Linked DNA regions of Diceros bicornis minor. The protein of the gene in region 1 purifies or fractionates together with the protein of each later gene. This does not show direct contact. Links are inferred from orthologs where the notes say so. Each region holds a gene or a part of one and is shown in the gene's direction. Other genes may lie near its edges. The genes, in order: PALS1, YAP1, PATJ and LIN7C.

Region 1 (7,995 bases):
TTGGGCCAGAGACTACTGAGCAGAGCAGTGAGTTGGCCTCACATTTATTTCTGCAGGATCACTCTGGCTACAGGATTGAGAAGAGAAAATACGGGTGGGAAAGAGCCTATTGCAGTAATCCAAGCAAAAGATGATGGTGTCCTGGAGTAGGGTTTTAGCAGTGGGGTTGGTGAGAAGCGGTTAGATTCTGGATATATTTTGCAGGTAGAAATAAAAGGATTTCCGGGCCGGCCCGGTGGCTTAGTGGTTAAGTGCACACACTCCCCTGCTGGCAGCCCGGGTTCGGATCCCGGGCACGCACCGATGCACTACTTCTCCAGCCATGCTGAGGCCGCGTCCCACACACAGCAACTAGAAGGAAGTGCAGCTATGACATACAACTATCTACTGGGGCTTTGGGGAAAAAATAAATAAAATTATAAAACAAAGAAAACCTTAAAAAAAAAAAAAGAAAGAAATAAAAGGATTTCCTGATGGATTGGATGTGCAGTGTGAAAGAAAGCTTGAACAACTGGAATAGTGGCATTTACCATATACTGAAATGAAGAAAACTGGACAAAAACAAAAAGTTCTGACATGTTAAATTTGTACTGCTCATTAGAAATTCAAATGAAGATGCTGAGCCAACAGTTGAATATATGATTCTGGAGTTTAGGGCAGAAGTTCAGGCTAGAGATAAATTTAGAGTTGACAGCGTATAGATGGAATTTAAAGTCACTGAGACCAGAGGAAATCATGCAGGGAGTGAGTGATAAAGAACATGATAGTTAATGCATACAGTGCTGGGCATATGGAGATTCACTTAGTCTTCACAACCACTGTAGGAGGTAGCTACTTTTATTATCCTCAATTTGTAATGAGGAAACTGAATCTCTGGAGAAATTGACTTTCTTCTGATCAAACAGCTAGCAAGTGGTAATCTGGAATTCAAATCCAGATAGAGGGAAGTAAAATACTGAATTCAGAGCCCTGGGACATTCCAACTTCAGGAAGATAAAGAAGAATCAACAAAGGAGACTGAGAAGGAAGTTCCAAAGGGTAGGAAGAGAGGCTATAGCAGTGTTTCAGGAGCTCGGAAGACAAATGTAGAAAGTGCTCAAAGGCATCATAGGCTGCTGGCAGGTCAAGGAAGATGAGGACTGAACAACGACCTTTGCATTTAACAAAGTGGCTCTAACCGGTGACCTTGACAAAGGCTGTTTTGAAGCAGTGGTGGTGTTAAATCTCAGAGCAAGGCCAAGAGAGGAGAGAAGAGGCATCAGAGTTCAACTCTTTGGAGTTCAGCACAGACACCATCCGAGACCCAGTCACAGGGATTCACCTATGGATCTGAATTAAAGTGGCAGCTGAGATTTGTGTCACAAACAGGATAGAGATTTGATTGGGAGCTTGGTGAGGAAAAATATGGGTAATTTCATAGCCCGTTTCAAGGAGAACGAACTTGATTTCCTTTCTTTTGGCATTCAGTCTTGATCTTTCCTTCATTAGAAAATTTTCCAAGCTCCAAATTTGCCTACCTCCTCTCTCCAAAAGAGAATTTCTCTTGGACCATGTTTTATTAGTCTACACATCCCCAGCCTACCACAGGACCAGCCAAGAAGAGTACTAATAAAACTGTGATAAATGACTAGCATCCTAAATATTGAATATCCTACCCTGAAGTCATTGTTGACCACTTGCTGTTCCCATAACAAGCCCATGCTTTTCTCTGTGTACTTCACTCAGTCATTCAAATTGATAAAAAGTTTGTTTTTTTTTTTGGTTGAGGAAGATCTGTCCTGCGCTAACATCTGTCGCCAATCTTCCTCTTTTTGCTTGAGGAAGATCCGCCCTCAGCTAACATCTGTGCCAATCTTCCTCTATTCTGTAGGTGGGTCTCCACCACAGCATGGCTGACGAGTGAGGTAGGTCTGCGCCCAGCATCTGAATCCATGAACCTGGTCTGCTGAAGCAGAGCGTGCCGAACTCAACCACTAGGCCACAGGGCCAGCCCCAAATAAAACGTCTTATGTCTATCTTTCTAAAGCCATGTATTAGATCTTGGTTTTCCTATTATTGTGGGTCTTTTTCTAGTAGCTTTTTCTTTGTCCCTCTCCTCTGTAATTAGATAGTAAAACTTCTCCTAGTATAAGATGTTATCTTTCTTTGAGTCCACAGAGCATCTTGTTTTCAATTACCATACTTTCCCTTGTATTTTACCTATAGGTAAAATGGACCTTACTCGTCCCTTTCCCCACCTTACTATAAGTTCCTACAGGACAGGGGCTGACACCTGTTTCAATTCCCTACAGCACAGTGCTTAGCATGTAGGAAGTACTCAGTATATATTTTTGGAGTTAATGAGTGAATATTTATTAAAGTGAATTGAGTTGGATGATACTGAACCTGTACTGAATGCCACTGACGCTAACTAACCTCAGACGGCGGGACCTCCTATACCTCATGGCAACAACTGCCTGACCTTCTTAGCTTAGAGACACAATATTTTTAGCTAGATTTATGAAAGGTTAACAAGTACTCTAAAACATCAAAATAATAACTAAACACAATTAAATTTAAAAATTAGTTCATGATTTGATGGTTTGCTTTTTGTTTTTTTGGTATTTAAAATTTTTTTTTAGATATTTATTTAATAATTAATGTACCTACTAATTTGTTGTTTCATAACTTCTCATATCTGAATCAGTGGGTATTCTTCTTTTAATTTACATTATCTCTGATCATCTGGTTCATACAATTATTAAGTGATCAGGGTATTAATTCAGCTGTGAAGACTGGGCTTTCACATAGAGGCGATCAAACCAAAGGGATATAATAGCCTTAGTTAAGGATTTCACATACAATTGTGAATGGCAGAATCTTGAAAACTGAGATTTCAGACCTGTTGCAAATGGCTGAAATGCAATATTAATATATTTCCCCCAAGCCTTTAATAAAATAAAATAGCACAACATTTTATTACATAAACACACGATAGAGGCTGTTGGCAGATGATGGGTTTAGCAGATGCCAAGATGAGGAAGGAAGAAGGATGATATTTACTATGGTTACTCTCTACCTTACATTCAATTTTACAGTGTAGCTTTCACCACTCACCCAAAATATTACTTAGTCACAAATTTGCCAGGTGACTCAGTGGGTGAACTGCCTTGTGACTAGAATGAACAACTCTTCTGACAGGGGGTTTTATGCCACAGATTACCCATTTCATTCTATTTTGGGATGAATATTATATTTCCTTAACTCCCTATGCTATTCATGTTAGATTCCATATGCAAAGGCTACTAGAATCTTAAAACTAAAAAAAAAAAAAAAAGTAATTAACTCATTATATTCCACATGAGAAAATTAAAGCCCAGGAAAGTTGTCACTCATCACAGAACTAGTTAGCATCAAAGCTAAAACTCAAATCCAATCGCCTTTCCTCCATTTTCTATACCTTCCACTCGTTCGGCCACCCTTCAATTTTCGCACACAAGACCAGTTATTTGAGTGATTTGGGGCTTCTGGGAATGGCTCTATTCACCAGAGAATAAATGTTTTATTTGCCATAGGGTCCACCCTCTTTTAAAATGAAAATACCCTCAGGAAGTAAAAATAGTAACTAACATTTGTATAGCATTTTACAAAGGAACTTCCATATCTTTTGAGATCAGGAGCTGCTATCTCACACAGATAGCTATCATCATTTTATTAGGGTGGGGTCCTGTGACAGAGGAGTCCAAGCAGCTGGGGAAGCAATGCTGGTAGCTGGAGGGTTCATTTGGGTGGGGGTGTTTTGTAAAACCGCTTAGGGCCAAGCAAGGAAGGTAAGGTAAAGAGAGACAATCTTCCTGAAGAGCCCATTTCTTTGAACAGCTACATCAGTGGTTCTTAACTGGAGGTGACTTTGCCTGCCAGGGGACCTTTGGTAACATCTAGAAACATTTTCGATGGTCACAAATGGGGGTAATGGTGCTACTGGCATCTAGTGGTTAGAGACCAGAGATGCTGCTAAAAGTCCTACACTGCACAGGACAGCCCCACAACCAAGAACTATCTGGCCCAAAGGTCAATAGCGCTGAGGCTGAGAAAACCTGAGCTAGAGGAAAGAAAATTCATTGAGGAGCTAGATGAAGCCTCTTGAATTGTTATTTACTTTATGCATTTAAAAACTTAGGAAATAGGTGACACACACACTAACATTTTTTTTTTTTTTTTTTTTTTTTTAATATGGCTAATAGTTTCTAGGGAGTCCTGGAGAACCTGGATTTCACTGCACTGGATGTGGGTTTGCCCAGGTAAGTCTAAATCCATTCACTGGAGTTTTGTGAAGCAGCTGTGGCCCCTGGCATCCTTTTCTCGTGCTCAGAACTCGGTCCTAGCTGCTAGCTTTAGAGTCTTCCGCAGTAGCAGAGAATTCTTCCGTGGGACACTACACACATCCAGGTGTTTAAGTATGTCATGGTTCTCTTGCAAACAAATGTTAGATTGTGTGGCGTGCTTCACAGGACATGAGGAGTCGCCTCACGGGGAATCAGATTTTCTTCAGGACCTGACGGTCATTCAAGGGGAGCAGAGTCGACGGCTGTAGAGCGGTAGCATGCTCCCCACCACGTCCCAGGGAAACTTAGTCTCTACACAACACAGCCCCCAGGGCTCAACGGGAAACGTGCCTCCACACGAACCAGTTCGCGGTTTATATAGTTAGAGGCGCGCGACCTGCCTCTCGGGAGCTCCAGAGCGGACCAATGACAGGGCCCTCTCTCCGCACCGGCTCGGCATTGGGCGAACCGCGCCAGCCTCTCTGCTAGCAGCGGGCGGGGCGCGCTGAGCAGGGACTGGGATAGGCGCGCCCACTGCGCCAGAGTCCCGGGGGCGCGTGCGCGGTCTCGCGGCGGCCGCGGGGGCTGGTCTCGCGCGGTCTGGAGGTGGAGTCGCCGGCGGCGGCGGCGACGGCGGCGACTGGCAGTTGGGGGGGGCGGAGACCAAGGGTTGTGAGGTGGGGAATCCGGGAGTTTCTGGATTCTTTATCTGGTATTTTAAGTGCCGCTGGGAGCTGTCCTTCCTGCAGTGTTTAGGAGCAGCCGGGGCGGAGGATCGGCGGCCGCCGTGGCGCGGAGGTAGGAGGCGGACTGGCGGTGGCTCGGTGTGGAGATCCTAATCAACAGGTCCCGGGGAGCCGAGGGGGAGGGGCGGCCGGGCTCACCCCCTCCCCCACACTGGGAGCTCGGCCCGGGGAACCGGGACTGCTCCGCCGCTGCCCCCGGCAGCAGGAGCCCCGGCCGGCTGCGGAGGGCGTGAGCCCAACCTTTGTCCCACGGAGGAACGCTGCTTGGCCGTGCCCGCTTTGGCGAGGGACCCACTTGGGCTGGCGGGGTTCCCGCCCGCCCGGCCCGAGTTGTAGGGGGGCGGTAGGGAGGCGCCTGCCCTCTGCGCCCCCGCCCGGAGTTCGCGACTCCCGGGACTTCCTCCAGGCCGGGTGGGGGAATCTTCGGGCGCACACTTTCCTTTAGAAGAGGGAATGTAGTCATCGTTTCTCTGCCTGACTCAGCTCCCGGTATTCAGCTGCTCATTGCGTTCTTGAAACAAAAAAATCAGTTCTACTTCTTTGTGACCACTTTTAAAGAAAAACCTGATTTCCGTAATGGTTTCTGATAATTTACTCTAAATTCGCAAGGTGAATTTTAAAGCCTCTAAATTGTTGTAAGCTGCATTTAATGAAAGGCGCTTTAAACAATCTTGGGGGCAAATTATGTAACTTCCTAATAATAATAGCTCACCTTCTGCTTAGTTGATTGACACACAGGAATGTGTATGGAATTCAGGTTTCCGTCCAAAGGCTTTTCTTGGCAGTTGGCGCTAAAATTAAAATCTGATAGCTACGAGGTTTTTAGAAATAGACTATAGTGTGTGTTTTGTTTCCGTACTCGTTTAGCATTGTAAGAATTTAGATTTGGAAAGCCTGTAGAACAAGATTTTTGAAAGTTTAATTTTACTGAAAAGGTGAAAGGCGTTAGTATTTTTGATTTAAAAAAAGTAATATCGTGTTTTAATGATATCCTGATTATGCTTTTGGATTATACCACAAATTAATAACCTATTAAATTCTGCGATAGGAACAAATGACATGTTGATCATTGGTGTCTTTGAAGTATCAGTATTGACGGTAATGAAATTAAGTGAGCTTTTTTGGATTATGAACTACTGATTTGTTTTTTACTAGATCTCTGTGGTCATGGCATATTACAACTTCTAAAAGGCTCTTTAAACAATTGTAGCAGACTGAACCTATTAAATTATAATGTAAGATCTTTATACGTGAAACAGGCAAAAATACGAAAAACAATTCATCATTTTATCTTTGTTTAAAAAAATCAAGTAAATCTTACCATGTACTTCAGTGACTTTTGTCTAGACAGACCTGAACTTGACAAGTAAAGATGGACTCTTTAATAATTTTAACTTGTTTTAGAATGTTAAAATGAGAGAGGATATGTAAGTTTTACCTGAGTGACCCAAGTCAATACGGTTGAGCTGTTGATATGCTGTTTCTGAATTATGATCTTGTTTAAAGAGTTCATTACAGACATACTAAGAAATTTGATCCATTTTATGTATCAATATACTAAGATGCCCTGTTTCTCTGATAGTTTTTGATCTCAGGGTGTCTGGGAAAAATAGTTTCTCAACATAGGTGCTTTAGAATATAATTTTTGATTATAAACTTATTGAATCATAGAATTGTTGGGTTGGAAATAATCTTAGTGGTTGTATAGCCTAACCTCCTCATTTTCCAGGAAAAGGAAAGGGAGGTTATAGAGTTAAGTGGTCCATAGTCTGACTGCTAGTTAGTGGCAGAGTTGGACCTAAATGCTAAAATGCTTGTCTCCAGATTCCAAGTACAGTGCTCTTTTCACTATATATTCTATTGTTAAATAAGTAAACCAGTAAGTTACCATTCTCAAAATCATACATGTAGCCAGCAGGGTTATTTCTTTCCCTTATGCATTTTTTTTTCCTTTCCTTTGTTTTTGGTGAGGAATATCAGCTCTGAGCTAACATCCATGCCAATCTTCCTCTTTTTGCTGAGGAAGACTGGCCCTGGGCTAACATCTGTGCCCATCTTCCTCTACTTAAATGGGACGCCGCCACAGCATGGCCTGACAAGCGGTGTATCTGTGCGCGCCAGGGATCCGAACCCCCGGCTGCCAGCAGCAGAGCGCGCGCACTTAACCACTAGGCTGCGGGGCTGGCCCCCACCTTTCCTTTTTTTTAATAACCCTAACCATAGTTACTTCATTCCCCTACTGAAGGGTTGTTTTCAGTTTTTCAATATTTCAGACAGTGTTTAATAAATACCCTTGTGCATGTCTCCTCGAGCACAGGTGTGAAGGTTTCCCTAGGTATAAGTGGAATTGCTGGGTCATAGGTTGATGTGTATTTTTGACTTTACTAGCTGCAGCCAAATTATCTTCTAAAGTTGTAACAGTTTACATTCCTGCCAAAAGTATATGAGTCATCGTTGCCCACACTTGGAATTGTCAGATTGGTGTTGTCATATTTTTAATTTTTGCCAATTGGAAAGGTGAGAAATGATATATTTGTTTTCTTTCTTTCAAAAAGATTTTAACTTTATCATGAAATAAAATTAGCTCTTTTCATTGTACAATTGTTTTGACAAATGCATAGGGCTGTGCAACTACCAAAATCAAGTTACAGAACAGTTCCAGCACCCAGAATTCCCTTGAGCTGCTCTTTTGTCATCAGCCCTTCCCCCACCCTTAACCCTGGCAGCTAGTGATCTGTTGTCTTTTCCTATAGTTTTGTTTTCTAGAATATCATATAGATGGAATCCTACTGTATTTAGCCTTTTGAGTCTGGTTTCTTTCATTTAGCATAATACATTTGAGTGTTCATCCATTTTGTTGAGTGTACCAGCAGTTCTTTCTGTTTATTGGTGAATGTAGTATTACATTGTGTGGATGTTGGTTTATCCATCCACCAGTTGAAGGA
Region 2 (7,029 bases), on another chromosome or scaffold:
AACAGAACATATATAGGTGAGTCGCAGGAGATTGGTTGAGGAGAGAAGCAAAGACTAGAATGGTTAAGGCCCTTATCTATCATCCTAAGAGATGTGAATTTGTCCTGAATTACATTACAACACGATCAGACTTTTATGTTGGAAAGATCACTCTGACATCAGAATAGAAGTCTGATGGAGCCACATTAACTAGAAGCAGGGACATGATTTTGGAGCTCTGCAAAAAAATGATGGGAAGTGAAGTAGAAGTGGAAATGGACATGGAGCTGGGCAGCAGACTTAAGAGAGCTGAAACAAAATCAACACACGTTATTAACCAGTTGGATGTAAGTGATGATGAGAGGGAGGCAATTAAGAGGACGCTCAGTTTTCTGGCTTGAACAAGTGGGTGGATCATGATGCCATTAACTGAGATAATGAATCAGAAGGAGGATGTGGCTTTGGAGGGTGTGTCTGTGGTAGGAAGTGCAGGAGGTTAGGGGTAAAGAGTTCGGTTTTAGGTGTGTTGAGTGAAAGGGTAAATGAACAAAAGGTGAGGAAGTGAAGAACAGTCATTCGGACTGCTCTTTCCAAAAATGTAGCTGTGGAGGGTAGGGCTTGTGAGGTTGTATATATGTTTCCACAGGTTCAGAGGAAGATTTAGGGATTTTGTGCATGGTGACCTCCATTTCTCTGAGCAGATGGAGGTGATATAATTTTCTGAAGGGTAGGGAGATGATGAATAAATGTGATGAGGAGAGTGGTACAGTTTAGAATAGCCATATCATGAGAATGATAAGCTAATTGCAGACACAAGGAAACCTGGTTAAAGACGATAAATATGGAGGGGCACCAATCCACTCGCCTGTGAGATTCCCTCCAGCTGTCCCCAGGAACCTGGGTGTCAACTAGACTTTCCAGAGGCTGGGAGAGGGCTGGATACTTCTTCTTTTCAAGTCCCCAGTATATTCAGTCATACCGGAATGCCAAGAGAGGGTTATAAAACTAGAGTACATTTCAAATGCTTACACTTAGCAAATTAATACTTTTAACACACAGTGATTACAATGCAATATATTTGTGCTATTCACCAGATAATGACAGAATTTACTTAAAATATTAATTCATAATGCATTACAGATAGTGTCATTTGGTAATAGGACAAAGTTTAAAGTTCTACAGTGAATGCCTTCTTGTAGTCATGTCAGTACATCTCTGGGATGATAGTACAACCTCACTTGGACAAAACGTCAAAAGCTTTGATTGAAGCTTTCAATGAATGTTGGGCACGGACCGCCATAAGCCTTAGGTGTTGGAATGGAAAAGACAGATAACTGGATTATCCAGTTTAATAGATCCAATTCACTAAAATACATGGGGCAATGGAATTGAGGGCATAGATGATTATGAGAGGTTGAAGCAATGAGTTATGATTTCTAAAGTGAATTGGGAAAGAAGTGAAAACAGGAGGGAGTGATAAGTTGGTAGAAAAGAGAGAGGTGTGAGTAATGAAACCAGAGAACGAAATGGCTATGAAGAGAATAGTATAACTGTTGGATTTTGCAACTGGAGTATTTCTGGATGACAGGGTGTGGATACAGGAGCAGGCAGCTAAAGTGGAGTGGAGATGAGGGTCCACTGTAGTTGAGAGGGCAAGTCATTGTAAGACTAGTGTTTTGAGATAGTTATCTATACAGATATTGAAAATGATCCAGGATAATGGTGGGTCTTTGTATGAAGAAGGCGACTCCCTATCTCAAGGTTCCTTAAACTGATAATTGCTCTAAAAGTGGGGCTGGAGAGGAAGAGAGGAGACAAAGGATTGCGTACATGTTATCTTTATCCCATATCAACCCATGATTGAAATTTTATAAATGAGGAATAGTAAATTCCAAAATCTTGGTTGATGCTACAGCGATGCTTACAGAACATAACTCGAAACAGCCTTTCAATCCACTTATCAAAGTAATTTTGTTCTCAGTTTAATGGCAGGTGAAACAATATTGAACAAAGCAACCTCTGCTGTACCCTAAGCCCTTTAATTATAGTGTTCATAGTAGTAAATGCTCTAGTTAAGCGACAGCTTCCATTACAATCCTAGGTGTTCAATCACTGGTTCTTAAGTTTTTTTTCAGTTGAAGTTTTTAATGCATAGTTTCTGGCCAAAGTCTTTGTTTGTGTGGATAGATTATTGGATGTGAGATGAAGAGACTGCCAACAGGGCCCCTAAAGGGGGTTGCTGCAAAGGAGAGGCCATGTTACTACACGTGAAGTAATCTGTGAACATGGGACAATGATAGCTGACATTTATGCAGAACTCACCACATGTCAAAAACTGGGCTAAATACTTACTTTATGTCCATTGTCTCATTTAACACCTCAACCTATGAAGTAGGTGTTATTACCCCTGACCCCAATATTAAGGAAATTAAAAAACAGGAAATAAGTAACTTGTCTGATGTCTCACAACTCGTAAATGGTGGAACTGAGATCTGAAATCAAATCTCTATAACTCCAGAACCTACACATTTGTGGTTAAATGCACTTGACATTTGGGGATGGGAGTGGGGATAAAACCAAGAAGCAGTCATGGGCGTCACTGATTCCTTTTTTCAGAGGAAATGGGAGTCCAGAGCAGCTGATTAGAATCTTGCCTTACAATCTTGAGGGTCTGAAGCCTCTTCCCCTGGCCCCACCCTACCCCACCAAGTGATACAGATTCTTCCTCAGAATTCTCCTGGGCAAGTCCTGGCTGGAGGAAGAGATTATCTTTTTGCTCAGGGGACATTTTCTTGCTTAATCCTATTTATACATCTGTTTCACTAGCATTGCAGACAAAATCATTAAAACAAGCCAGATTTGTTTAGAAGGGGCTAGTGGATTTAAAATTAGAGTGATGTACAACTCTGTGAATATACTAAAAACACTAAATTGCTTAAATGGACCAATTGTGTGGTATGTGAATTATATCTCTATAAAGCTGTTTTTTTAAAAAAATTAGAATGTATGAATTAAAAAACAAACTTTCATTGCTCTTGAGTGATTTCAAATGGACTCCTTGCATATAAGACTGCCATATACAGAACCAAGTGAGCTCCTCGCCCATCCATTTCTTATTCAGTCAACATTCACAGAGTCCAGTCTTGTGCCAGGCACAGGGATGAGGGGTAGGCTCCCATCCCCTCGAGGATGAAAGGCAGGTACACATAGGAATGCTGTAACCGAAGTGAAGCACTGATTTTTTGCGTTGAGCTTTTCATGACCATGTTGCAAGTCTGAGTGTTAAAAAAAGTTTTCACTTTTAAAAAATGCATTTTTTTTTTAGTAAATTACATTGAATCACACATCTAGTCTCAAAGCTTCAAATCACAGTAATCGTTTATCTCTTTCAAGTGGGTTTTTGCATATGAAGAAGTTTAAAAAAATCAAGTTAATGTTAAAAAACGGACCCTTATTAAAATCAGTGCCAGTCTGGGGTATCTATTTTAACTTCAACCTATCCTTGAGGATTTAAGGCCGCACTGGCACGCCGGATGGTCAAGTACAGCTAACGGGAGGGCAGTTTAAGTGGATTTACACGTCCCCTCCCGACTCCTTCGGGCCTTCGCATCCCGGGGCGAGCTGGAAGCCTGTCCGCCTTTCCCGAGGACTGGCGGCGAAGGCGCCGGGCTGGGCGGTAGGACTTCCTGCGGCCAAGGGCGGCCGCGTTCTCCGCAGAGGCCAGGGTTCCGACCCAGACTGGACCCAACGTTCGTCGTCGGGCCGGCCGCCCTCCCGTCGCGGAGGGCCAGGCACGCTCTCGGCCCCAGCGCCGGGAAGCTCTGGCGCAGTCCGGGACTGAGGGCGACTGGGTCACGTGTGGCCGGGAGGAGCGTCGGAGGCCCGGAGTCTGCAGGAATGTTGTAACTTGCAGGGAAAAGTTTCCCTCCGCGGCCGGCCGCGGATCCCGTGCGGGCGGGCGCGCAGAGGAAGGAAGAGCCGGGAGGAGGCGGAGCCGGCGAGCGGCTCGGGCGGGCGGGCGGTTCTCTCAACTTTAGTTTTGGCGTCTGAGGCGAGTTTCTGTCTCAGTCGGGCGCAGCCGCCGCCGGGGAAAAGAAAGGGAGGAAGGAAGGAACAAGAAAAGGAAATAAAAGAGAAAGGGGGAGGGGAAAGGCAACTAGCTGTCCGGCATCCGTCAAGGGAGTGAAGGCAGAAAAGTTCTCAGGCGCCGCAAGTCCGGGTCTCTCGCAGCCCCTCCCGAGGCGCAGCCGCCAGACCAGTGGAGCCGGGGCGCAGGGCGGGGGCGGAGGCGCCGGGGCGGGGGATGCGGGGCCGCGGCGCAGCCCCCCGGCCCTGAGAGCGAGGAGAGCGCCGCTCCCGCCGCCCAGCCGCCCTCGCCGCTTCTCCCGTCTCGGCCCGACGAGCCGGGGCGCCCGGGCGGAGCCCTCAGCCCGCCTGGTCGGGGTGCGCGTCGAGGGAGGCAGAAACCATGGATCCCGGGCAGCAGCCGCCGCCTCAGTCGGCCCCCCAGGGCCAAGGGCAGGCGCCCACGCAGCCCCCCCAGGGGCAGGGCCCGCCGTCCGGGTCCGGGCAGCAGGCACCCCCGGGGTCCCAGGCGGCGCCGCAGGCCCCCCCCGCCGGGCACCAGATCGTGCACGTCCGGGGGGACTCGGAGACCGACCTGGAGGCGCTTTTCAACGCCGTCATGAACCCCAAGACAGCCAACGTGCCCCAGACCGTGCCCATGAGGCTCCGGAAGCTGCCTGACTCCTTCTTCAAGCCGCCGGAGCCCAAATCCCACTCCCGACAGGTAACCTCACCGCCCTTCTCCCCGCTAACTCGTCGGGCGGGCCCCAGGCCCGGGGGCGCTCGGGAGCGGCGGCCGCAGCGCCGGCCGGGGGAGGGGGGCTCCGGGAGCTCGAGCCGGGTGGGGGCAGGGGACCTCGCGGAGAAGTCGAGGGACTGGAGGCGCCCGCTCGGCCGCGGTCCCCCGCTCCCCACTCCTCCCGGAGTCTGGGGCCGAGATTTGTTTTTTCCCCTCGGAGTTTCTGTCTGCCGATTGCAGCCCCGGGGGCGTGCTTTTCCCCTTCTTCCTTTCTTTCTTTCTTCCTGGGGTTCCCGGGAGGTTGGCGGGAGTGGCGGGGGAGGTGGGGAGGAAGGAAGGGGGTGGGGAGAGCTGGGCCCGGGCCGCGGTGGGCTCGCACAATGCGCGCGCCGCCGCGCTCCGCACCTTCGCCGCCGCCGGGCCGGGAGGGGGAGGGGCCCCCCCTCTGGCATTTGTGTGTGGGTGAGTTGCCAGTGGCGGCCGAGTTTGTGAAGTTGAGCCCTGGGCCCCCTTTCCTTCGGGGCCTCTCGGTCCACTTCAGTCTCCTGGGGAGTCAAATAATTGTTCTCTTGTTTTCCAGTGTTGATTAGGGGTGGGGGTTCAACCAGTCCATTTAGTTTCTTGCTCCTTCTCCCCCTCCCCTTCCCCCTCCCCCTCCCGAAAGCATTTATTTTCCTCGCGGCCCCGGCGCTTTCTGAATACAGGATCCAGACTTTCCTGGAAGTTGTTTATGGAGTTAGCTTTTACTCCCGCGCTTCCCTTGCGCCTTGGAACTGGGGCAGGCTCGCTCTTATCAAACTTCGTAGGTTCACGTGTTGGTTTCCCAGTTGTGGACTATTATTTACAGTCTGCTGAAATGCTTTTAAACTAGCCACATGTGCACGTTGCGCAGGTCCTGAGTTGCGCTTTACAATGCCTTGGTTTTAACACAAGCCTTTGATAATACACTGCAGGTTGACTCATAGGCCGAGTCCTGCCTAGTTCAACTGTGATTAAAAGTTAATGTTTGGGAAGCGATGACTAAGTTGAGGCTCGCCATTGCTTTTCTAATTCTTATTGAGGATATGAACATGGCTGTTCCACATAGACAACATTCGCTTATTTTGTCAACTTCATCCAGCAATGAAGTGAAACTATTATGAAAGTGTTAACATTCCGACAGGCCCCAGTAGATTTGTTTAGTGTAGGTTTTCCTTTCTTTCTTTTTTTTAAAAAACTTGCTTCAGGCTAAACTTCAGCCTAGGAACTTTGTCCAAAAGTTAATTGGTTTTCCAAGTACTGCAATGTAGTTAGTCCACTCGGGCTGTAACTTGAGTGGAAAGAAGAGTTATCACCCCCACTCCCATTCCCACTCCCCCTCCTGTTTGCAGGCCTGTTGTATGTTCTGCCGCAGACTAAGGGGGTTTTGGAACTCAGAGAAACTCCCTTGACTTGCTGACAAAAACCTGGGTTAAGGAGGAGGAAGGAAAAACAATTTAGCTGCTTGCCGAAACACTTCAGTTTGTAAGAAGTAGACTTAGGTATGCTTTTTTCTCTTCCCCCTGGAAGTGGGTGTCTGGACTCATTATGGGTAAATGTGTGTTACCATTGCACCCTACAGACTACACAGCTATGCAGCTGGTTACTTAATATGTTTTGAAAGTATAATACATATAGGACATTGAATTCCTCATTTTGTGGCATGTATAAGCCCAAAAGAATTGCACCTGAAAAGTGTACTTACACTTCTAGTAAATAATTGCACGTGAATCCAGCAGTTTATGGATTCGTACTATTCATAATCTATAGTTTTGTTACTTTTTAGTAAGTTTCTTAACTAAATGTTGTGTATGTGTAAGTTTGCCTTTTGTTTCTGCTAATGATTTCCTAATTCAAATTTACTCTGATGGGAAATTCAGAAATGTACTCGACTTGGCTATAAGGAGTAAATGCCTCCGCTGATTGCTTCCAGTGTCCCTTTCTTGCCTATGTGAATCTATGAAGTTCTATCTTTTTGATGATCAAATCCTAAATCTAATCAAGGAATTTAAATAACTATACTAGATTATGAATAGTATGAATGTGGATTGTAAATACTATTGTCCACAAACTATTGGATATAAATTCATTCATATATGTGTTTTCCATTTTTCCATCATGAAAGAAGCTATTTTACAAATGAGAAAACTGAGGCTCTCAGAGATTAAGATATTGTTCAGTGTCACGCTAACCAACTTGGACTAGAACCCAGTTCTTTAGAGTCTGAG
Region 3 (7,684 bases), on another chromosome or scaffold:
TTAACAATTAACTCTTTGAAAATGCTTATGCTTTGCTAATTACTCCCATTGCAAAATCTGTTTTTATGGTTCTAGTGATTATCTTCATTCTGTCTTACAATGTATAAACTGAAAAGAACAAGAGAGTCTCCTCATAAAAGTAAAGAAACAACACAAGGGCCGGCCCAGTGGCTTAGCGGTTAAGTGAGCGCGCTCTGCTGCCGGCGGCCCGGGTTCGGATTCCGGGCGTGCACCGACACACCGCTTGTCCAGCCATGCTGAGGCCGCGTCCCACATACAGCAACTAGAAGGATGTGTGGCTATGACATACAACTATCTACTGGGGCTTTGGGGGGAAAAAAATAAAATGAATAAAAAAAAAAAAGAAACAACACAAGATTTTTGACTCTTACACTGACGGCATATTAAAAATTTACTTTCTCTTCTGATGGCCCCTTAATCTATTTTCTCATGGTTCAGTAAAATATATTACTTTATTTCTTTGCAAGCATAATCTCTGATCACATGATCACTACATTGTTTAATTTAGTAAGAGTTCTTAAATCTCAATCCTAGATGTGTTTTCAATGCCAGATTTCTTTGTCACATAAAAATTCTATAGAAATTCTATAGAAAGCAAAGGACAGGGGTAGCACAACCCAATAAGGAAACTACTGTGTAGAAACATTAGGGGTGAGGATTACCAGTGGAGCCTAAAGCAGAGCTTCCTCTGGGATTCGATGGCTCTGCACGTTGGATCTTTCCGTTCCTAAAATTCCCGCATACGCCTAATTACATTAACAGATGGTTTTGCCTACAGCAAAGCTTTCTGGGGAAACCAACCTGACTCTTGTTTGGTTAGGGCAGAAACATTAAGAGATAAAAGATTGTTACCCTCCAAAAATTTCTTTTTTATTTGACTGCGATGAGCAATTTTTTCTCTGGTGATAAATTCGCAATATCAGGGCTCTGGCAGATGTTTGTTGGTCTTCTGCACATAGGGAATTCTACTACATCCATGCTGTTGACTCGCAAGCATTTCGGATGTGTCCTCTCCTTGGTGCACCAGCCTAACTGCCAAAGTCCAATTAAACTGTTTGACCCATCACTTCATGAGGCCCACTCTGTGCCAAGTAGATTTCATCCTGATTGTCAAATGTAGGATCTAAAACTATCACAGTCCTGCTTCTCAGAAAAACAAAACAGAATAAATTGGCTTTTCTCAGTTTCACCACCATAGTCCTTTTATCAGGTTCAAAACCGAGACTCATCTTTGCCCTTCTGTTTTCTCCTTGTTCTTGAATCCCTTTTTCCAATCAGGAAGCAACTGATATTTTTAAGTGTTCGTTTTTTTATCCTGTATCTTCACGCTATTGCAGGTATTCATCATTTCCTCTGTACCTTGCCATAGCGGCTGCTTCCTTCCACTTTTTGATTCTAGGCCCTCTCCCCAACTTTGTCAATCCATTTTTCACACTGCTTCCACATTAATCTTTCGTTAAAAAAAAACACCCAATCTATATCATATTCAAAATCTTACTCAAAATCCTATTTAAGCTCCTTGGTATTTACCCAAAGGAGTTGAAAACTATGTCCACACACAAACCTGCACATGAATGTTTATAGCAGCTTTACTCCTAATTGCCAAAACTTGGAAGCAACCAAGATGTCCTTCAGTAGGTAAAAGGATACATAAACTGTGGTACGTCCAGACAATGGAATATTATTCAGTGCTAAAAGAAATGAGCTCTCAAGCCATGAGAAGACATGGAGGAATCTCAAGTGCATATTACTAAGTGAAAGAAGCCAATCTGAAAAGGCTACATACTGTATGATTCCAGTGGTATGACATTCTGGAAAAGGCAAAACTGGAGACAGTAAAAAGATCAGTGGTTGCCAGGGATGAATAGTTGGAGCACAGAGGATTTTTAGGGCAGTAAAACTACTCTGTATGATACTATAATGGTGGATACATGTCATTAAATATTTGTCCAAACCCACAGAATGTACAACAGCAAGAGTGAATCCTAACGTAAACTATGGACTCTGGGCAATAACGATGTGTCCTCTAGGTTCGTCGACTGTAACAGATGTCCCACTCTGGTGGGGATGTTGATAAAGGGGGAGGCTATGCATGTGGGGGCAAGGGGTGTAAGGGAAATCTCTGTACCTTCCTCTCAATTTTGCTGTGACCCTGAAACTACTCTACAAAAATAAAGTATTTTTAAAAATAAATAAACGCTAATCATTACATGTTTAAAAAACCCAAAATGAAAATCCTATTCATACATTTTCAGTGGTTCTTTAATTTCTCAGATGTGAAGGATAAAGGCTCAGAACCTAGTCATCTCTGTGTATTCTCAGGCCTCTACCATCTGCCCTGGCCTCACCTTATTTACTGCTTCTCTTGACTGTCCCCTTGTTGTCACCAGTATCTGTCACGCTCCTTCCCTCTATGTGCTGCTTCATTTATTGAGGACTTTCTCTGTGCCAGGTATGTGCAGTACACATATTCCTGCATTTAACCTTCAAAACTACCCTGTGAAGTGAGCACTGTTCCCAGTTTCACTACTGAGAATTACAAGGGTTAAGTCACTTGCCAAAGTCACGTATTTCAGGAAACGGTGGATTCAGGATTCAAGCTCAGATCTTCTGACTTCAGAGATGTGTTCTTAAAAATTTTGTTCATCTTCATCATTCTATGAATAAGGCACTCTTGAGGTTTCTTAGAGGTAAACATTCTCAGAGTAAGCTTTATCTTAAAAAAATGTTTTGAATGACAAAAAAAATTTTAAATTCTAGGTAAGAGCCAAAGGAAAGCTCACATAAAATTAACAACACAATGATGTGGAGAAAATCAGATGAAATGTGGTGGAGAGAGGTGTCTGCTGGGGTGGTCAGGGGGGCACCTTCTCTCAAGAAGGGAGACTTGAGTCTAGCCCAGGAGGCAGGGCAGGCCTTCCAGGACATCCCAGGCACTGAAAAGGGGACAGCATGGTGTGGTGATTCCTAGGACATGGAGCAGACCTGTGTGGCCAAAGTCAGATCCTGGAGAGGTGAAGTGGCAGATGAGGTTGAAGAGTCAGCAAGAAGGGGTGAGTTTAGAGGGCCTTGAATACTAAGGAAAGGAGTTTGAACTTTGTTTCATGGTCAGTTCAAAATCACACTATTTTTTGAGGAAGGGGGAATCTGTTCATAACCATCATGAAATGTCAAAGTAAGAAGAGACCCAGTGTTTGAAGGTGATGCTTTGAGATCATTGGTCTCCACCTATGTGCTGCCCCCTGACCTGGGAAGCATTTCGTTCCCCATTTTATGTTAAGCAAATCCCACACACCTGTTAAGACCTCTTTAAGTCCTAATAGATGCTGTCAACAAGCATAACAGATCTCTATTTTCTGAAAGTTTAGCTTTATTCTATTTAGTAATTTAAGTTATTTTATAAGTTTATTTCCCTCAATAGTTTGTTAGTTCCTGAGAAGCAGGACTGTGCTGAAATTGTGTATCTTTTTACCAGCCTAACAAGTGATGTTTCGTTTAAAACAAGGGAACCAACAATAACACTACAAAGTGCCAAGTGTATGATCTTACAGCTGATGTCCTCATGTTGTAGTTGTTTTGTATACATGCCTCGTCTTCCCATTTTTAACATTTTAGTCAATCACAGTGCTTAACACACACTGCATTTATTCAGTGAGTACATACTTGAAGATTGATTCTCTTTATCATTAATGTGTGCACTGTATTAGACAAAGTAAACCGCCTGTCATCAAAATTCTCGTTACATTAAAGAGAGTGGAACAATGCCATTGTAGGTTTTACACAGATCTTTCTCCAAGTCAAGTTAGGATATCAAGAGTAAAAATGTTAAAATGCAGAGTGAAGTCAATACTGGACCTAGGGTCAGAAGATCCGTGTGGGTCGCAAACTCTGGGCAAATCCTTTAACCTACCAGGTGCGCGGCTTCTTCCCAGTGGACGAGGCCGTGCACCAACTGGCCGGGCAGAGCGAGGTCACTGCAGCTGGACCATCTTCACCTGCTCGGCGAAATGGGAAGGCAACAACACCCCTGTGACACTTCGTAGATCTTCAGGTGGGTCCGCGGGTACAGGAACCGAGGGGGTACGGGACCACGCGCCCCCCTTCCCTCTCCAGGCCTGGCGCTCGCTCTCCCGGCGACCCTCACACCTGGGCAGCCGGCCCCCCTCCGCCTGGCGCTCTACCTGCCGCATCTCCCAGCCCGCAGCCCGCCGCCACCTGCGCGGGCCTAGGACCAAGAGCCCGCCCAGCCCAGGGGAGGGGAGGGGACGACGGAGGGGAGGGGGGAGGGGACGGGGAGGGAGAGGGGTCGGCGGAAGGGAGGGAGGGGTGAAGGGGGAGGGGAGGGAGAGGTCAAGGGGGAGGGGCGGGGGAGGGGACGGGGCGGGGGAGGGGACGACGGAGGGGAGGGAGGGGACGGGGAGGGACGGCGGAGGGAGGGAGGGGTGAAGGGGAGGGGAGAGGAGGGAGGGGACAAGGAGGGGGAGGGGAAGGCGGAGGGGGGGAGGGACGGAGCGCGGGGAGGGGAGGGAGGGGACAGGGAGGAGGAGGACAGCGGAGGACAGGGGGAGGGGACGGGATGGGAGGGGAGAGGGGAGGGGCAGGGAGGGACGCGGCGGGGGAGGGCCTCAGGTGAGGCGGCGGCCCGGCACTTCCGCCCAGGTGACTGGGGCCGCCGCCGCCGCCGCCGCCCGCCGGACCAGGTAAAGCGGGGCCGGGCGCCCGGGGGAGGGAGGGGGCTCGGGGGACGCGGGCGCCGGGCGCACCTCGGTGCCCAGCTCGGCCCGCTCGGCCCACTTCTGTCCGCGCCCGCGCGTCTGCACAGGTCGGGGCCTGGCCGCCCGGAGCCGGACGGAGCGGGGACGCTGGCCGGCCTCGGGCCCGGCGGTCACGATGGTCACGGCGGCCTCGGGGGTCGCGGCGCTCAGGCCCGGGCCCCGCTCCCGGGCACGGCCCAGCGCAGGCTCTTCTCCGGCCGGGGGCACTGCGTCGGGAGGCGTTTCCAGCCCCTCGGCGCCTGCCCTCCAGGCCGGCTCGCCGCTCGGTCTCGGCTGGCCCCCCGCCCGGCCTCCGCTGCCCCTGTCCTGGGCCCGGCGCAGCCGCTGACCCGGGTGCCCGAGGGAGCGGGCGCCCCCGACTGCACTCAGGGGGCCCCGGTGGGTGCGAACAGTCCAGGGCCTCCCCACGGAGGGAGGAGCCTTCCCGAGCCCAGCAGAAAAAGAAACCTGGGCACACCGGAGGAAACACCACCTCCCGGGCTGTCTGGGCTCCGCTAACGCCAGTCCCTTCGCGCACGCCTTGCTTGAAGGAGAGCTAGGCGGGGTGGGGTACAGCTCGGATGGGGTCATTCTGCAGCATCAGAACAAGTTAGGTGAGGTCATGACTTCTAACTAAAATGAGCTTGATGTTTCTAGGCCCCTAACGGCGTTTATAAGGACTATGAAAAATTTAACATAATTTGAAAGTTAATAAATGTCAGAGCTGGAAGGAACTTTGTGGACAGAATTTGTAAACTGAGTTCTGAAGAGATTTGGCCTTGCTAACAGATCTTGGCATCAAAATAGTTTTGTTTAAAGTTGGAAAGAAATTGTAGTAAGCCCTCATCTGTTTGTTTATTTTTTTTTATTTATTTTTCCCCCAAAGCCCCAGTAGATAGTTGTAGGTCATAGCTGCACATCCTTCTAGTTGTTGTATGTGGGACGCCGCCTCAGCATGGCCGGAGAAGCGGTGTGTTGGTGCATGCCCGGGATCTGAACCCCCGGGCCGCCAGCAGCGGAGCGCACGCACCCAACCGCTAAGCCACAGGGTCGGCCTAGCTGTCGTCTGTTTAGAGATGCCTTAATAAGTTCAAGCCTTGTATTTATTATTATTTTTATGACTATAAAGGTAACATACATTCATTGTAGAAAAATTGGAGAGAATTTTCAGAAAAGGAACTAAAAGCACACACAAACCCACCTACTCTTGAAAATAACCACAAATAAAATTGGCGTATATTGTCTTGCCGTCAGTGTTCTTAAGAAATATCTGTATGTTGTCCCTTGTGAGTTCACCTTCAGAACCTTGTGATTCTGAGATGGTGGTTCAGCGTTAGTAATCCTTGTAATTGCATTTTTACTTAAAAGCATATAATAATTATCCTTAAGCTACACAACCAAGCAGTGTGGATTTACTTTCTTTGTTAAATATTTAACAAAAAACTTTAGGTTGGGGAAGCCAAAATGGGGGTTTGTTTGTTTACTTAAGACTTTGCTCATCTTGAGAGTAGAGTCAATCTTTTGAGACACAGGACTAGTCCACCTTAATATTTGAGATTAATTGACCATTGCTGTGCTTTTTTCATACTCAGATGTTGTGTAGATTTGGAGGGCTTTATAAAAGCCCTTATCGTAGGGTCTGGAGCAAATAGAGAGGTGTTTAGAGCCTGTCAGTGCCCTTCCTTTAGTCATCGGCATAGGGCCCTGCTGAAGATGTCGAGCCCACTTAGTGTTTGTGTTTGCACAGCTGTGCAGTCTGTGGAGTTTGGAGATGTGGAGTTGGGCCCACTGGCCATGTAAGTCCGTCTTGGCAAGTGACTTGACTCTGGACCTCTGTTTTCCCATTTGTAAACAATCTACCTCACTGAGTTTCGGGGAGGTTGAAATGAAGTATGTTCAAGAATGTGTCTTGTAAACTCTAAGCCATCATTCTCCCACTTTTTGCTCCTCCACTGTGATGTTTAATTCTGATAAAATTATGGAGTTGTGCTATTTTTATTGAGTAGAACTCAAGTTTGTGAGTGTTCTCACTCAGTTACTTTGATAAAAGGCAGAGAGACCTATTAGCTGATGAACAAAGCCTTTGTTAAAACGCTGTGCAGGGATCTTTCTGAAAAGTCATAGTTAAAACTGCACTGTTGCAGCCGGCCTGGTGGCATAGTGGTTAAGTGCTCGCGCTCTGCCTCGGTGGCCCGGAGTTCGCAGGTTCGGATCCAGGGTGCGCACTGACGCACCGCTTGTTAAGCCATGCTGTGGCGGTGTCCCATATAAAGTAGAGGAAGATGGGCACTAGTGTTAGCCCAGGGCCAATCTTCCCCTGCAAAAACAGGAGGATTGGCACTGGATGTTAGCTCAGGGCTAATCCTCCTCAAAAAAAAAAAAAAAGAAAGAAAACAAAACTGCACTGTCAACATGGTTAGCTGCTTGCACATGTGACTACTGGGCATTTGAAATGGGGCTAGGTGGAACTGAGATGTGCTGTAAATGTAAGATACACATCAGATTTTGAGGATTTACTGTAAAAAAGTCTAAAATACCTCATTAATTTTTTATATTACTTATAGATTGAAATGATAATTTATATACATTGGGTTAAGTAAAATATATTATTAAAATTAATTTTGCCTGTTTTTTTTTAAAGATTTTATTTATTTGTTTATTTTCCCCCCAAAGCCCCAGTAGATAGTTGTATGTCACAGTTGCACATCCTTCTAGTTGCTGTATGTGGGACGTGGCCTCAGCATGGCCGGAGAAGCGGTGTGTTGGTGCGCGCCCGGGATCCGAACCCCGGGCCGCCAGCAGCGGAGCGCGCGCACTTAACCGCTAAGCCACGGGGCCGGCCCCTGCCTGGTTTTTTTTACCCTTTTCATGTGGCTACTAGAAAAATTAAAATTTTGTATGTGTGGCTC
Region 4 (6,857 bases), on another chromosome or scaffold:
AACAAGTTGAGAAAGCTTTCGGGGCCGGCCCCAAGGCCTAGTGGTTAACTTAGGCACGGTCCCCTTCAGTGGCCCGGGTTCACAGGTTCAGATCCCAGGCGTGGACCTACACCACTCATCGGCTATGCTTGTGGTAGCAACCCACATACAAAATAGAGGAACACTGGGCTGGCCCCGTGGCTTAGCGGTTAAGTGCGTGCGCTCCCGCTGCTGGTGGCTCGGGTTCGGATCCTGGGCGCGCACCGATACACTGCTTCTCCAGCCATGCTGAGGCTGCGTCCCACATACAGCAACTAGAAGGATGTGCAGCTATGACATACAACTACCTACTGGGGCTTTGGGGGGAAAATAAATAAATAAACAAAATCTTTAAAAAAAAAAATAGAGGAACACTGCCACAGATCTTAGCTCAGGGCTAATCTTCCTCAGCAAAAAACAAAAGAACAAAGGGGCCAGCCCCATGGCATAGTGGTTAAAGTTCCATGAGCTCCCCTTTGACGGCCCAGTTCACAGGTTCAGAACCCAGGCACAGACCTACACTACTTGTCAGCCATGCTGTGGTGGCAACCCACATACAAAATAGAGGAAGAATGGCACAGATGTTAGCTCAGGGCTAATCTTCCTTGGCAAAAAAAGAGGAGGGTTGGCAACAGATGTTAGCTCAGGGCCAGTCTTCCTCAGCAAAAAAAAAAAAAGAAAGAAAGAAAGAAAGCAAGCTTTCATGCCCTGGCTGCCTAGTTAGGACTTTAATTTTTCCTATAAAGACTAAATTTGCTTAATTTAGCTTTCACTGGGATTTGTCTAGACTCAGACTTCCTATTCTCACTTGAGTGTTCCTCTTTCCCTCCGAGGCAGGAAGTTAAATGAGGAAGCAACAGGTGAAGAGGAGCTCTTCCAGAGGAAGAGTAGTTCTTGATTGGGAAGCCTGGTGGCTTAACAACCCGGCAGGGGCATAAAAGCTAAAGCAGCTCTGTCACGTTGTGCTCACAGCGGCCTCCTCTGAGACCCAGGACAGCGATCACTCTGTGAAGTGAAGGAGTGGGACTCTCTAGGTCTCTCCCAATTCTAACGCTCAAGGATTTACGAATCAGGGAGGGACATTTTAGGGAATCTCTCCTTATACAGTAGCTGATTCTTTTATTTTGTACGTTGAGTACAAATGGGTTGTTGTTAATTAAATCATATTTTCTTCACTCAGAAGTAGCTCCTAAAACTTTTTTCTTCCTTACCTATGCTTCAAATAATTAATGGTCTATAACTGTTCTGATTCCCAGTCCTTAGAATGTAGCTTTTTATTCTTTTCAATTTCTCTGAAAATTTTAGGATCTTCTACTTATTCACGGAATTCTGAAATTTCATGATGATTCTATGTGTTAAGAAATTACCAAGGATAGGGCCGGCCCTGTGGCTTAGCGGTTAAGTGCGCATGCTCTGCTGCTGGCGGCCTGGTCTGGATCCCGGGCGCGCACAGAGGTACCGCTTCTCCGGCTACGCTGAGGCCACGTCCCACATACAGCAACTAGAAGGATGTGCAACTATGACATACAACTACCTACTGGGGCTTTAGGGGAAAAAATAAATAAATAAATAAAATTATTAAAAAAAAAAAAAGAAATTACCAAGGATAGGGAAAGGATCATTCAAAAGGAGCAAAGTAAACAATCAACAATCTCCGTTCATGAGAATAGTTCCTGTTCCTGCCAGGCAGAGTAGAACCATACATATAAATTACCAGTCAAGTAAGAAGCAGGAAATTATGAGCCATAATGAAGAGAAAAATCAATGAATAGAAACAGTACCAGAAATAGCACAGATGCTAGAATTAGTAGATAAGACCATTAAAATTGCCATTATAATTGTATTCTATATGTTCAAGAAGCTAGAGGAAAGACTGAGTATGTTAAGTAAGAACATGAAAGATGCAGAAAAACACACACACTCCTGAATCAAACTGCTAGAGATAAAAACTACAATGTCTAAAATGAAAAGTGAACCAAATGGGATTAAGGGAATATTAGATATTGAAGAAAGGAAGCAGAGAAAAGCTTGAAAAAACAAAATGAACTGAGCATCAGTGAGCCGTGAGATAATGCCAGGCAGCAGAATACACCTGTAAGTGGAGTCATCAAAGGAGAGGAGCCCGAGGATGGGGGAGAAAAAATATTGGAAGAAATAAGGGCGAAGTCTGCATTTGTCTCTCTCCACATGGTACCCTCAGTGCCTAGGAAGGCACCTGGCAGACATGAGACATTTAACAAACACTTCTTGAACACCTTTGTGGCGGAACAAATGACAACAATGAATAAGACATGAGCACATGAGTGCTACTGCAGGTATAAGGGCCATCATGTACCAAAGAAGGGGAGGAGGATGGAGAAGGGAAGCTTAGTGGAAGTGGAGTGTCTTCAGCAGGGACCGGGAGGATGGGTTCAGTCTGAGGATGTATACAGTTTGGAGAAGTGGAGGAGATGAAGGGCATTCCACATAAGAGCAACATAAATGAAGACTTAAAATCAAGAATAAACATGGTTTTGGATATGCCACCTCAACCTGAGTGGTGGTTGCATTCGAGGGATAACGAGAAACGAGGTTAGATAGATGTTAGGGTCAAGTACGCAAAGCTTCAGAAAGAGGAAACAGGGTGAGAAACCACTGAAAGTTTGCGAACAGAATCCTTTGATGATGAAATCAGGGCTCAAGGGGGAAAGCGGGTATAGTGGTGACATTCATGATGGATTAGAAGAAAGCATTATAGTTGGGTGGAAAGGGTGGGCCAGGGGCAACCTGGAGGTTGTTTAAACAATCCTATCATGAAGTCTTGAACACTTGTATATGAAAACACCTAAGATATTATCAACACAGACCAGGGCTTGAATAAATGTTAGTGGAATCTAAACACCGGGCAAATGAATATTCCATTTAAACTGAGGACAAAATTTTTCTTGGTTCATGAAGTTTTCAAAAGTGGCCCTAAGACTCTGTAACGCATTAAGAATATCACGGCTTCATGACATTTCACTTACATAAGATTTTGGATCAGCTTTTTTAAACTGTTACTTCGTGGTGCACCAAAGAGCCTTGTTCTCTGGCTCACTCACCCAGGCGCGCTTCACGCTTCCCGTACTTTCCAATCTCACTCGCAAATAGATTTAGAGGGAAGGCTCCTGTCCTGATTTTTAAAATTAAAGCAACGCTGCCACAAAAGGAGAATTTACAATATCTCAATGACACGCCTGATTGTCACAGAATCCCACAGTTGAAGGATGGAAAAGACCTCGGAGATGGGGCCTTCATGGCACAGATGGGGAAACTGAGGCCGAAAGAGCGTAAGCGCGCAGTCCGGGCTCACAGAGCCGGTAGAGGTCAAGCTGGGACAAGACTCCAGACTCTTCCCCGTGGAGCCAAGGGCTCCAAGCGGGTGGGACGACGTTAAATCCCGAGGCAGGGAGCAAAGGTCGTGAAGGCGGCCCTGTTCAACCTCAGGAGGCCGAGGAACTCAGAACCTTGGAACCCCGGGAGGGACAGCACGGAGCCCACCTGGCGAGCCGGCCACGCCTCCACCTTGCGAGGTCCCCCAAGCCCCCAGGCCCCGCTCCCTTTCTCGCGATACCGCCCGGCCCCGCCCCCCGGCTCCCGTAGGCCCCGCCCCTCCGCCGCGCCCCTCTGTCGTCATTTCCTGTGGGTCTGCGGGCACAGCAAGAAGATGGCGGCGCTGGGGGAGCCAGTGCGGCTGGAGCGGGGTGAGTGCGGCCGGGGCCGGGGCCGGGGCGGACGGAGGGGGTGGAGGCGGGCCGTGTCGCCGGGGGGAGAGGGGCGGCCAAGGCTCCGAGCCCGAGCCAGGCTGCCCCTCGCGCTGTTCCCGGGGACCGCCGACGTCGCGGCGCCCGGCCCCAGGGAGGGCGCTTGCGGTCTCCCGAGTGATGCCCAGACCGCAGTTGGCACGGACCGTCCCGGGGCGCAGCGCGGGTCATCACCTGTCCGCCTCCGCAAGCGCCGCACATGGGCCCCGGGCTGAGAGCCGCGTCGCCCGGAGGCACCCCTCCCACGCCCGGCCGGCCGGACTGCACGGCTGCCCACCTTCATGCACGCGCCCGGCGGCCGCGCCTGCACCCACGCGTCCTGGACGCACAGCGCGTCCCCACAGCACCGCTCCTGTGCACGCACAAACCCGTCATTGCCTTGACCACACCTCACTCCTGTTTGTTTTGGGGTATTTCCTGGCCTTGGTGCCCCTCCCAGGTACGGAGAAGGTGCTTTAAAACAGTCCTGCTGATTTGCTCTTGGGAAGAAGGTTACATAACTAGCCGGAATAGTGGTAGATTGTAAAATGTTTGCAAGTGCAGTCTTATTTCTTCTCTACAAACCCTACAACTGCTCACTGTGGCTGGTTGCTTGCTTTTTAGAGGAAACTGTCAAGGAAAATAAAACTTGTTTTGCTGAGTAATTAGAGACCCAAAAGCCAGTGAGAATACATGGCCATGCCCCTACCAGGGTTCTCTTACAGATTTTCCACATTCCACTCTTTCCTCCGCAGATCCTTTATTTCATGCAATTTCAAGCATCCTTTTGGCATACCAGTATTAGAAGTCGTTGGTAAGAGTCAAGAAGTACAAACTAAATATCTTGAGTACAGTAGTAAACAAAGTATAGGATGGAGATTGAAAATATCTTGGAAATACTAACATTTGCAGTTATGCTCTGAATATTAAGTAACTTCTGCTCCGAGAAGGGAATGCATTTTTAGAATTGTTGTATTTAGAGAAACCTCTTTCCTCATGCCTTCACACAAGCCAATGTGCAGTTAACATTGTTGATTCCTTATGGTGTTCACCGTTTATAAACGACATCGTTACCCCCCAGCCCGCCAGATCATTAATTAAAGCATCATTTTTGACAGAGAAGTAGCAACTTTGGGAAGATTTACTAAGTTAGGCCTGAGACGGTGACATCTTCCTCCTGAGCACAATGGCACTGTGCTTTGTCGATGGGAACAAATCTGTTTGGTGTTAACAGGAGTAGGTGTTTTTCTTTGAAAGCCAGTTTTAGGATTTTAGCATGTTGGCAGTCTTTTGTATTTTTAAGTGCAGAACAAAATGTGAAACTTAACTTCTGGCATTTAGTTTTGGTAGTCATGGCTTTGTTTTTGCTGTTTCAGAGTTCTCTTCAGTTCCACAGTAGAATGCTCAGCATCTTAGTAGGATGAATTATTAGCGGTTGCCATCTAGCAGGATAAGAAAGTCAGATTACATCAACTCTGTTTCTTATTTAGAATTCTGTTTAAACTTTATTAACACTGCCAATAATCCTACAGTATAAAATGAGTGCATATGATTAAGATCCTGAATGTCTTCTAAATTATCATATGATTCAGTGGAACACATTTGAGCACAAATTAGGTACAGCTTGGGTTCAGTAGAGAGTATTTTACTTTTTTCAATTTTTTTGGTAATTGGAAATTTTCATGTAGCTTACATATTGTAACTTTGTAAGTCAAAATAGCTGATGAACCAACAGTCCCCATCCACCAGCCATTCTAGTGGTAGAGTATCAGAATGGGGGAAAGTGTGTTTGCATTGCATTTGATTCACATCAGTTTAAGCTTTTATTACCTGAAATTGAAAAATCTACTTCTTTCTTCACTACGTTTATTCCTAGTTTTTCAGCTGCAAACACAAAGAAGGCCATATTAATTCTATAAAGAAAAAGTTCCAGTCCTTTGGTATAATAGAACTTCTTCCACTTAAAAGGAGGCAAGGAATGGTAGAATAATAGATATTCTAGCCCCTTGGGGTACAAAAATAGGTAAGAAAAACATCAAAATAGAGACAGTCATTAACAGTGTTGTAGCATGACCCTGAATCTTATAAAATGTCTTAATTCGTTAAACACTTATGCTCACACTTCCCAATGCGAATTGCCTAACGTGCTTAATATATCTGTATAAATGTGTACAACCGCTTACTATTTCTTATGATTAATTGGTGCCAATGTAACATAACATTTCTGCTTGCTACATGCCAGACCCTTTTCCGTGTATTTTTTGGTTTAGTTGTCAGGTAATTCTTCTAAGGAGGGTACTGTTATTTCCATTTTACAGTGGAGAATCTGAGACATAGGGAGGTTCAGTAACTTGCCCAAGATCACACCGCTAGTATTGAGATCAGATGACAAAACTAATTATTTTTATTTTTCTATTTTGTAAACACGTATGTATTTGATTGAGCTTGGCTTAATTAAAACATTGTGTTAATTATCCTAAGTTGAAAACAGACCAGTTGATTTTATTCATTTGTACGATTGTTTTATTTTATTTATTTATTTATTTCTGTGAGGCGATCAGCCCTGTGCTAACATCTGCCAATCCTCCTGTTTTTTTGCTGAGGAAGACCAACCGTGGGCTAACATCTGTGCCCATCTTCCTCCACTTTATGTGGGACGCCACCACAGCATGGCCCACCAAGCCGTGCATCGGTGCGCTCCCGGGATCCGAACTGGCGAACCCCAGGCTGCCGCAGCGGAGCACATGCACTTAAACTGCTTGCGCCACCGGGCTGGCCCCTGTACCATTGTTTTAAATGTGTCCCTGCCACTAACTGCACCTGTTATTGAACAGTTCGGGTCTGCATGAATATCGTGTTTTCCTTTGGGACATGAACAGTGACTTCACTGGCACACAGTGTTTTGTACTGTTCAGTGTTTTGATTACTAATAATGACAGGTAAATTTTTATTGACTAAATAGTTCCAGATAATACTTTCAGCTTTTCTGAAGCAATACAATGTTCATGTGTCTATCACATTTGAGCCCCAGTCCTTTCCTGTGACATTTCATATTTTATATTCAATTTTCCTGTGTCT

Evidence for each region.
Region 2: the proteins of PALS1 (region 1) and YAP1 purify together in Homo sapiens (affinity purification with mass spectrometry; 6 studies listed by BioGRID and IntAct, counting the BioPlex papers as one, with this or other methods). This does not show direct contact. The link is inferred for Diceros bicornis minor from reciprocal best matches to the Homo sapiens genes PALS1 and YAP1.
Region 3: the proteins of PALS1 (region 1) and PATJ purify together in Homo sapiens (co-immunoprecipitation; 5 studies listed by BioGRID and IntAct, counting the BioPlex papers as one, with this or other methods). This does not show direct contact. The link is inferred for Diceros bicornis minor from reciprocal best matches to the Homo sapiens genes PALS1 and PATJ.
Region 4: the proteins of PALS1 (region 1) and LIN7C purify together in Homo sapiens (affinity purification with mass spectrometry; 3 studies listed by BioGRID and IntAct, counting the BioPlex papers as one, with this or other methods). This does not show direct contact. The link is inferred for Diceros bicornis minor from reciprocal best matches to the Homo sapiens genes PALS1 and LIN7C.

The regions. Positions count from the first base shown.
Region 1 is NC_080763.1:15,944,306-15,952,300, forward strand, and holds the start of PALS1 (protein PALS1), read left to right. Parts: upstream 1-4,979; 5' UTR 4,980-5,102; intron 5,103-7,995. UniProt on the Homo sapiens protein: Plays a role in tight junction biogenesis and in the establishment of cell polarity in epithelial cells.
Region 2 is NC_080746.1:32,841,622-32,848,650, reverse strand, and holds the start of YAP1 (transcriptional coactivator YAP1), read left to right. Parts: upstream 1-4,015; 5' UTR 4,016-4,447; coding exon 4,448-4,768; intron 4,769-7,029. UniProt on the Homo sapiens protein: Transcriptional regulator with dual roles as a coactivator and corepressor. Critical downstream regulatory target in the Hippo signaling pathway, crucial for organ size control and tumor suppression by restricting proliferation and promoting apoptosis.
Region 3 is NC_080743.1:1,463,624-1,471,307, forward strand, and holds the start of PATJ (inaD-like protein), read left to right. Parts: upstream 1-4,674; 5' UTR 4,675-4,721; intron 4,722-7,684.
Region 4 is NC_080746.1:83,526,433-83,533,289, reverse strand, and holds the start of LIN7C (protein lin-7 homolog C), read left to right. Parts: upstream 1-3,844; 5' UTR 3,845-3,920; coding exon 3,921-4,239; intron 4,240-6,519; exon of another isoform or gene 6,520-6,711; coding exon of another isoform or gene 6,712-6,718; intron 6,719-6,857. UniProt on the Homo sapiens protein: Plays a role in establishing and maintaining the asymmetric distribution of channels and receptors at the plasma membrane of polarized cells.